2 linked regions of the Schizosaccharomyces pombe genome follow. The protein of the gene in region 1 interacts with the protein of each later gene in a pairwise test. Each region holds a gene or a part of one and is shown on either strand. Other genes may lie near its edges. The genes, in order: stn1 and pmt3.

What was found.
Region 2: the proteins of stn1 (region 1) and pmt3 interact in a two-hybrid assay, tested with the Schizosaccharomyces pombe proteins (3 studies listed by BioGRID).

The regions. Positions count from the first base shown.
Region 1 is NC_003423.3:1,160,758-1,165,110, forward strand, and holds stn1 (telomere cap complex subunit Stn1), read right to left. Parts: upstream 2,326-4,353; coding exon 2,217-2,325; exon of another isoform or gene 2,162-2,216; coding exon 2,063-2,161; exon of another isoform or gene 1,933-2,062; intron 1,909-1,932; coding exon 1,139-1,908; 3' UTR 728-1,138; downstream 1-727. Other genes in the region: protein mim2, read left to right, coding at 3,561-3,735, 4,085-4,128.
Region 2 is NC_003423.3:2,504,827-2,510,992, reverse strand, and holds pmt3 (small ubiquitin-like modifier pmt3), read right to left. Parts: upstream 4,149-6,166; 5' UTR 4,100-4,148; coding exon 3,971-4,099; exon of another isoform or gene 3,877-3,970; coding exon 3,727-3,876; exon of another isoform or gene 3,678-3,726; coding exon 3,603-3,677; 3' UTR 3,434-3,602; coding exon of another isoform or gene 1,790-3,433; 3' UTR 1,335-1,789; coding exon of another isoform or gene 993-1,334; 3' UTR 943-992; coding exon of another isoform or gene 848-942; intron 830-847; 3' UTR 797-829; downstream 1-796. Other genes in the region: kin17 (KIN17-like protein), read left to right, coding at 1-208; Der1 family protein, read left to right, coding at 559-796, 848-942, 993-1,334; tmf1 (TATA element modulatory factor-like protein), read left to right, coding at 1,790-3,433; splicing factor Slu7, read left to right, coding at 4,547-5,686; SPOM_SPBC365.04C (RNA-binding and ribosome biogenesis protein), read left to right, coding at 5,995-6,166.

The sequences.
Region 1 (4,353 bases):
ATCAGTTAAGATAATATAAATTTTGGTAATATTTCATGAGCAAAACAAAATACCACAATATCATTGTGTGTAGTATGATATTGAAATTTAAATTTTTTAAGGAGGTTATAATGAAGCTTCCTTCATAAAAACAATCTTACACGACGGGACTCGAACCCGCAACCTTCTCGTAATTCACTCCCCAACAACGATCAGGTCGTATAGGAATGAGATGCGCTACCATTGCGCCACGCGTAACAACCTTTGCCTGGTTAAAATTTAGTATAATTTATGCGTAGCTTATTATGAGGATTAAATTTTGAAATATAGATTTTGCGGCATAATACGAGCTTAAAGAAACCAATTATTATATTTATTGTTGCTTATTGAAACGAAATAAATTTTATTCGATGTGTGATCTCCCAGTGCGAGAATACTGGATCAATTAATAGATTGACATAACTCTACGACCATAAGCAATTCTTCGATACCTAAAAAAAAATAACAACCACCAATATGAAGTGTCAATTTAGTAGTTAAAAACAACTAAAATAAATTGCATAAGTTTATGGGCTTATCTCGTTTTTACTCAACTTCAAAGCAGTAAGGAGCATCATTGCAATCTATACAATTGGCAATCGGATGCCTTAATCTTTTTTTTTAGTAGTTAAATCTTATCTAATATTCCAATTTCAGTATGAAGAGCAGCTAGATTTTACGACATGATCAGAAAAGACATAGTTTTATCCTCATGACTTCCAACTATAATAATCGAAGTACGATGCTTAGGCCAGTAAGCGATGCAAAGCATTTCAAGTTTGAACTTCAGGAAATTAAGAGTAACTTATTATCATGCTTAGTTATATTTCTTTACCCTAGATTGTATAAGCAGCTGATGAATTGGTGCTGACCATTAATTAAATTTGATGCAATGATGCTACTGATCAATTCAAAAGTAAAAAAGAAAGCTTTATACATGTAAATCTATTTCATCATCAGATTAACCGCTTATATACCCATGTGTACTTATTGATCTGTTTCCGTAAACATATTCTTAAATTAATAGAGGATTGTAATATTGCATATAGAACAATGAACTTAGTTTTAGGCAATTAAATCTCCGCGTCAATGTGATATTAAAGGAAACTGGAAATTCATTTTATACAAACTGATTATCTCGCACCCAGGTATATTTCTTTGCTTGCCTCCATTTCCCTTTTGTACGAAGCAAAAATTGACAAATGTGTTTAGCAATCGCAGAAAGAGGGAGTGTGATAAACATTGGGTTGGAATCTCTCACTATGCTTTGAACCTTGTGGGCTTCGAGAAGACCACTTGCCATCAGAGGAATCACAAAGCGTATTATGTCTTTTGAAGTGACAAGCATATAAACTGAATTTGACTTTCTCACAATCCGCCCATGTTGTAGTAATGTTTGCAAAGAGAAATTAAGCGCCAGTATGTGATTTCCATCACAGTTCTCTACTATTTCATTTTCGACGTTGAATATATGAACAAGTGGGAGGTGCAACTCTTTTGCTTTTAAATAAATAATGAGTTCTTCAATTGTAAATCCAGCTTGCACATTTAATTTACACATCTGCCTTATGCACTTAAGTAACTCCTTCGCATGATCTTTAGGAAAATAGGATTTCTTGGGTGTGCGAATGATTGAATGGTGATTTTTAGAGATTTTGGTTAAATTTTTTTTGTATCTCATCCTTTTCTGCCATGCCTTCCATTCATCATTTGGATCACGAAGTTCTTCAAACGACTGAGCAATTAATTCAACCTCAGATCGGAAAGAATTTATCTTTCCAAAGACACAGACAACATTTCCAGGAGACATAGATATTGCTCTTTTTGACATTGAAAAATCATCTTGAATAATAAACACGACACGCAATACCATCCCGCTACAATCATCCACTAAATTCAGTTAGGAAATAGAAAAAAGGGAGCTATAGAGGCAGATGCTTCTCAAAAGTTGATTTTATAAAAAACCTTAACTAGATTCAACAACTAAATGAGTCGTGTATGCAGTAGTGGAACTGCTTATTGCCTCAATGCTGATATTCGTTACCTGTTAAAACATGCTTTCCTTCATAAATATCAATTGCCGCAATATAGCCAACAATTTGAATCCATCTTATGGGAAATCCCATCCAGAAGCCAATGTATCCTAGATATTTGTAAGAATCACTTTGTGATATTTATTTTACAGAAAGAGCACTTACGCTGTAAATGTGGATGAAATGAAATTTTATGAACATCGCTAATAAACATGGGGTTCCATCTTGATAATGTAGGAAATTGATGCGTTAGTTGATTTTCATTTTCTAGCATTTATTAGGTCATTCCCTTAAAGACTTTCAACCATATGATTTGCAATTTTTCAAGTATATAAGTAAATAAAAATTAGTATGCTTCTGGTCAACTATCAACAACAATCGCAGCGTTTTCGAAAATTAAGCAATGATTTGGTGTTTGTGAAGTCTTCATCTTCCTGAGTGCGCGTAATAAGGATAGAGCAATTCTACGAGGATAATAACTATTTAAGTTTCTACAGTAAGATTAAAAGGAAAAAAAATATCTTAACTCTTTATTAGGACATGCATTGATGCTGTTATAAAAAATGCTAATTGACTAAACAACTTTATCAATTGAATTTAGTCTGGTTTCACGCAACTTAGTTATAATTGAATTTGAGAGAAGATCCTAAAAAAGACGTCTACTGACAAAAAGTGAGAGTACAGAATTCGTCAACCAATTTTGTAAATGTCACACCAATGTGCATTGTTTATATCTTGCTAAATTCTAGCACACAAATTCCTATCTTCATATACCGGATAATTCTAAATTATATGATTTATTTATGAATAGGGAATACGCAAGGAGGTATGAAAACCAAACTTCTTCAGTTATTGATGTTTCACATTCAACTGTTTTGAAGATAAATTATATTGCTCCTACTGTGTTCGATCAAGAAACCTCGTGGAAAAATGCATTCTTTAAAAGAGTAACTAAAAAAAACCAAAACTCCCAACTTTTTTTTGTTTTATGTTTATAACGGTCTATCAATTCTTCAATAAAGTGTTACCAAACAAAGCACTTAGAGGTAAGGATGGCAAAAATAAAGGCTTTTCTTAGGTCGAAATATTTGTTGTGAAACAAAGGGTATCCGCGAATAGCATGACAGCGGCTGTTCTGCTCAGCTTTCATCTGAAATTGAATAAACTAGCAATACCAAGAATACAAACAATGTACCCAAACTCATAGGTAAAGCATATAGAAACAAATAACCTCTTATCATCAGTGAATATGAATTATTTTTGCTGAATATACTCCCTGTTTTCAAAATTTAGTCTCACATGATCAATGTTGTTTCGACAAATGTCCTATGTATAAATGTAACAGCCACTATGTGACCTTCACCAGAGCCATACTTGGTAATAATACACTTTTAAGCATACGTTAAAGGGGTTTCGATTGCTGACAATAGAAAAATTTTTTAATTAAATTCTAAATACAACGTTGCTAGTTCAATCGAACTATTCTAAAGTCAGTTTAGTGAAAACAACATGGCCGAAGTTTTAGATCTTGAAATTGACCCAATTTCAGATGGAGAAGATGATACCTATTCTAGTGAATTGGATGATGATTTAAAGGATTCCATTGAACAATTGGAACGAGTTTTATGTTTGGTGGTGTTCCCGTTGTTAGGAAAGTTTCTTGGTCGTAAATTCGCATTTCATGGTAAGTTAGTATAAATTAAAGGAATAGGAATAGATGGTGGATTTTTTTTATTTGCTTTTAGTTTCTCAAAGAGGAAATAAGTTTTGCAAATAATTGAATAATAGAGCAAAAAAATCCGTTTTTGGAGAAAGATTGAGCACAACTGATTTTCTTATTCCATCAGCTTGAATTATAGCTTTTTCTTCCTATAAACTGTTTTTAAATGGTCTGCTTGTTGGTCTACATTTACATCTTTCGTTATTTTTTAAACATTTTTGTTTCCATTACTGTTCTATTAGTCTTTCATTCTTAACCTTTTCTACATCCTTAAACTTCTGTACATTTATTGTATACTAACCCTTGGATTTAGCATGGGCTCGCTGGTTAGAACGGAGGCGCTTGGTTAGTAATTAAAAAGATTTATTTCTGAATCTTCTTACATTCGCTGGTTTAATACTTATTGTTTCTGTTTCTATTATGATATTGTGTGATGAAACCCATAGTGTGCCATTCGTTCTCGGATGAAATTCTCTTTATGATCTGAATAAGAATTAATGAATATTTGATTACTGTATAAATCAATGTACTCGACATTTATTAAATTGTAACGGTTTTTGAATCCGAACTTCAAAAAAAATT
Region 2 (6,166 bases), 1.3 Mb from region 1:
ACCCACATTTTCTTTTTCTAGTTCATCCTCCCAGACCTCCTTGAAGCACAAACCAAAAAATGTTTTTGCAGAGCTGAATAAAAGCCGTAAAAAGAACAATAAGGATTCTTTAGATCAAGGGCAGAATGTAAAAAGGCCACGGTCAGCTGTTGAAGACATTATTGCTCAAGAAACAATGAGAGAGAAAAGACGCAATATAAAGCTCTAACCGGAGAATTGACGTTTTTAAAAGGCTTCAAAAGTGAGAATTTATTTATTGGTTTATTATTTATAAAAAAAATACGCTTGTACTTGTACTTTTACTTTTAATGTAGCTTATTTAACCGTATATGTGTTATTTAGTAGCCTTTCTGCTAGCTTAGTCTACTTGATTTGAAGGTGCTGTAAAATACATGAAAGCTCCAAATTTCATATAATTTTGCTTTCACTTGATCTAAGTTAGAGATTTAATAACTTATATTTTACTATAGTACATATATATGAAAATGTTCGATACGTTAGTAATTGTAGCACAATTCCGTATACAACCTTGCCTGAACAAACATAATCAGTTAAGACATGGCTTCGGAATTTTCCGGTCAAATACAAGAATTGCTGTCTAGAATACCTCCTGTAACAAGGTATATTCTGCTTGGAACAGCAGCTACCACAATTTTAACTTTATGTCAACTTCTTTCACCTTCGATGCTAGTTCTGCATTATCCGTTAGTCGTTCGTCAGAAACAATGGTATCGTTTATTTACTAATTATCTCTATGCTGGAACTGGATTTGATTTTATCATGAACATTTATTTTTGTACGTAAATCCATTAAAACCTGTATTTAAATTCTAACGTTTTGTCAATAGTTTACCAATATAGCACATACCTGGAAAACTTTGTCTTTGCTAGGAATGCAAAAAAATACATTATTTATTTAGTTAAAGTTGCTCTTTTAATTGATGTAAGGAGTATTTGAAGGTCTAAAGTATGCTTATTAACGTTTCTCTTTAGGCATTTTCCTTGATCTCAGGACTTGGAAGCGCGTTAAATCAATCGCTTGCCGCTGCCATTGCTTATAATTGGTCTTTGTTTAACTCATTTTCCAAAATCCAGTTTTTGTTTGGTTTTCATGTTCAAGGCAAATATTTGCCATATGTTCTTCTTGGCTTCAGCTTTCTAACCGGAGGTCTTCCATCTCTAGTAGTATTGGGTTTTGGTATTATCTCTGCAATGATCGTCAATTTTTTTGATTCGATTCACACTCCTGTTGTCCATCGCTCCAACTCTCCCAAATTGAATTCCCAAAAGGTGTCTGGAACATTCATTGGGAAGGGCAAAAAGTTAGGCACTTAATTTTTCATATTGATGATTTCATTAAGTGCGTTAAAAACAGTCGATACGTGTTCGAAATTTTTATCAATATTTCTTACTCCATTCATCACCTGTCGAGTCTGGTAGGCAAACTTTCACAATTTTCAATAATGCATCAATGAGTTCCACTATTTCAAATTTTTGATGAATAATATTTCACTTCTTTCCTGTACGAACACGACGGCTTTCTCATTCATATGCTGATAGCTAAAAATCCGAACTACACTAATTTGTTGAAATGTAGCCCTTTATTATAATGTTCTTATCTAAATTTCTTTTTTTATCCTTCACCAATAGACTAAAGTAAACATATGTACAAATTGACGTGCGAGGCATATGCACTTAGAAATCTTTTATTTTACGTTCATAAAGTAAAGTGGGCCTATACCACGTAGAGTACACAGATCAACTACCAGCCAGTGTACGGTGAAGCAGGCATGGAGAATTCAAAATGGGGAGGTTTTCTTAAGAAAGCAATGTCAAATGTTGAAACCAGTATTGACAAAGTCTTAGACGGTAATCAGATTGAGGAGATGTCACGAGGAAATGCAAAATCAAAAGATGAGATTATCGCAAAGCTTCTTACGGAAGGACAGGCGCTTTCAAAAAATGAGTTAAAGTTAAACAATACAATTAAGCAACTTAAAAAGAGTTTAAGTGAAGCTGAAACAAAGTTGAAGCGCCTAGACGAGAAACAAGCGACTCCGGAATTACAGGTATCTGACTCAAAGGAGATGGAGGAACAATTGGAACTACAAAAGTCTCAATTTGAAAAGAGGATATCAATTTTAGAGAAAGAAAAGGAGGATCTTCAAAGAAAAATGGAAGAACTTACAGTAGAAAGCATGGAGGTTGTTCGTCTTACGCGTCAAGTAGAGACCCTCTCAACCCAGTATTCGATTCAAAGGAGTCAATGGGTACGTGAAGATGAAAAGAAGAAAAAGGAAATTCAAGACCTGAAAGAACTTTATGAGAAATCCGAGCATGGTGCAAAGAATTGGGAAAGGGAACGTGAGACTTTCCAGAATCAAGTATCTCAAATGTCTAAACAGTTAGATTCATTGGAGAAACTTTGTGAAAGGAAAGATGAAGAAATAAGGAGTTCTCAGGCTTTTAATATGACATTGAGAGAGGAAAATGATACTTTAGCAGCCCAAAATTTGGACTTACAAACACAACTAGACCGATTACAAAGGGAGCTTGACACTAATATAAGAAGTAATGTTAAATCTAAGCCTAAAAAAATTGTCACTACAGGAGGAATTCCTGAAAATAATGATTATACGGTTGGAAAGGTAGATACGCTTAAAGTCACCAAAGAAGATGAAGATCCCACTACCCCTACTAATGCTATTCCGATACCTTCATCTATGAGCAAGCGTGATGAAGCTTTAGAAAATGACAAAGATAATTATTTTGACGACCTACATCCCTTAAATATTTCAACAAGTCCGCAACCATCTCCTTTGAGTTTTTCAGAAATCCCACAAAGCGATACACGGAATGCTTTAGAAAACTTTTTGGATAATCTTCCTTCCCCTTCAGAAGAGAGATCCAGAATTTCCAGATCAGCATCAGAAGCGCGAAAGTTGGGTATAAACGCTCAGTCAAGGTATGCTTCCATAAGCAGTGCAGTTCTTTCTCCTCCTTCGGAAGCTTCAAGAAAATTTAGCCTATACGAATCTGAGGCAATATCACCAACATCAGGGACACCCAGCAATCTTGAAAAAGGTGCCGGGAATGTTCCTGATGTTAGTCTTTTGGAGCAACTTGCTACCACAATTCGCCGATTAGAAGCCGAACTACAAACAACTAAGCAGCAAGTAGCGCAACTTATAATCCAAAGAGATCAGGCCCGTCAAGAAATTGTTGATGCCTATGTAAATAATGATGCAAATGAAGATTCAAAAAAGCAAGTGGAAGAGCTTAGACTACAATTACAGAACCTCGAAAAAGAGCATGCCAGTACGTTGGTAACACTTAAGCAGAAAAGTGACAAAGTGTTTGAATTAGAGCTGGACATTAAGGATATGCGTGAACTTTATGTCAGTCAAATTGATATATTGGCAGGCAGGCAATAACGTTTGGAAAAACTTGTATTAAAAAAAAATAATTTTAATATAAATCATTTTATTTAATTTCATTGATTCTTTCAAATATTTTGAGCGACGATGCTGGAGATGATAAACGTATTGGCAAAATCAAAATATTAGTTTTGAGTATATGAAACAGCTTAAAAATACTTGTACTCTAAAGGCATAGATGGGTGCAACCACCTAACTGTTCTAAGACAGCCTCAATTTGATCGCCATCTTCCATATCAAGCTAAATGTATAGTTAGTACCGGCTTTTGTTGTAAAAGTTTAAAACTTACCTCAGCAGGTGTTTGATCTGGACGAATACGTTCCCCATCAACAAGGAAACGTAAGCTGTTCATACTTTTTCCTTGTCGTGCACAATAAATCTTCATTAACTTGCTGAACTCAGTGGTCTTTTTAATTTTGAAAAATACTTCGTTGTTATCCTACATCAAGTTAGCTTCACGATTCGTGCATTAAAGACTTTTGAAAGCAAAAGATGACAGGAATAGCATGAAAGTCTCTTGCTGTAGCACACACCTGTCCGACAACTTTCAAATTGATATGCTCTGTGGATGGTTTGACATCTTGTTGCGAAGTGTCACCTGTGGTAGGAGTGATAGCACTTTTGTCAGCATCAGAAATGTTTGCTGATGGTGATTCAGACATTTTTTCTCAGATACTATATAAAATCGAATATACAGGTACAGGGGGGTACAATCAAATTCTCATAGATCAGGAATGACTGTTGTGATTGTTTGAAGCAAGAATAGCGTAATGTGGTATATAATATAACGTGTATAAATCTACTCCACTATTTTGTTTAGTTGTGTCTTAAAGCTACGTTAATTATTTGCTTACTACGTTTACTCTGCTTATAACAATGGTTAGAAAACCGTAAACTGCAAATCTACAAGAATTTTTGAAACGCTAGCAAATATTTGTCGAACTATAAAAATAAAGCCGTCGATAAATAAGCCGGTTTATATCGTTTTGTTATAAAAGACAATTTTGTTGATTTCATCGGTGTTAAACCTTTACTTGAATCTTTTTAATATTTTCGAATTAATTGGCATAATAATCAAGCATTAATATTCTTATTTATTTACCTTAAAAATGTCTTATATGAATAATACTTTTCAATCTAATTATGATTATTCTAAGGACAAAAACTTTATGTCAACAGACATTGGACCTTCGATGCGTGAAATGAAGGCACAGAAGCGTCGTAGTCGTCCTATGGATAATCCAGATGCTGATAATCCCTATATTCCTAAATTCATTTCAACCGCTCCTTGGTATGCTCAGGATGATGATGCGGTCGAAAGATTAGCCCATCAAAGGATAGGCAAGAAAGAGACACCAAGTGGTGGTCGTTCCTCCATTGAAGGCTCTTGGTACGTTAGAGGGAAAAAATTAGGACCTGCTGCTACAAAATATCGAAAGGGTGCTTGTGAGAATTGTGGAGCCATGTCCCATAAAGTTAAAGATTGCATGGAGCGACCAAGAAAGCGGGGTGCTCGTTGGACAGGAGAAGATATTCAAGCAGACGAAGTTATTCAAGATATCAACGTTTCATGGGATGCGAAACGTGATCGTTGGAATGGCTATGATGCCACGGATTATAAGAAAGTTATTGAGAGATATGAAAAATTGGACGAATTACAAAATAAGGGGGAAGAGAATAGGGATGCGTCAGAAAATTCTGCTGTTAAAGCATCAAGAAATTCCACCGTTTCTGGTTCCGAAGATTCTGCATCCATAACTACACCAAGCCTTAGAATGCGAGAAGATGTGGTGGCGTATTTGCGAGCTGACAATAAAAACTTACAATATGAACCCAAATCCAGATCAATGAGAGACGAAACTGGATATCATATGGTGGATGATTCTTCTGGAGGTGCTGGCTTTGTCAAAGCATCTGGTGGTGAAAAAGAAGACTTCGAAAAACTACAAATGTTTGCCTGGGAAGCTGAGCGTTCTGGAACTCGTGTCCATGTTGTAGCCAATCCAACAGCTGGTGAGCTGGAATTTCGAAAAAACAAGGCATCTCGTATGACTACCCAGAAACATATTGATCAAAGCATATTAGATCGTTATGGGGATGGTACCTCTAAAGTGAAAGACAAAAAAGCAAAAAATAACGAAAAAGAAGTTCCGGATTTAGCTATTCTTGATAAATCTGAAAAAAGCAAAGGAGAGTCGAACACAGATGAAGAATCCGAAAACTTAGTTATTGTTGAAGGGGACTTATGATTTTATTTATATATCTAATAATATCTAATAATGACTGAATGTACTGCAATGACATTTTTCTAAATATAACACTAATTAACTTGTTATTATTTCTTTAAATTTTATCTTACTTCGTTGAACAAGAGACTTCTGATATTGTCTAGCGATGGTGCAATTGTACTTTCCAGATTTGTTTAACGAAGTTTTAAGAAACTTTGTTATGTATACATTCTGTCAGAAGGGTAAACATCGTTAAAATATTCTTGCCTATGGATAGAGGAACTTTTGTACTGAACACCTTCAATTCTCCATTATCAAATTTTTATTTAATGTCTTCGAAACTATCGAAAAAGAAATTAAAATCTTTGGAATACCGCTCCAAAAAATTTGATAAAAAGTCGCAAAGTTTGGAAGAGCATGAGAAGAAAGTACAGCAAAAGAATGAGGAATTAGAAAAGAAAGCCGCTGACAAAATATCGAGAGATGAACTACCAGAAAAGC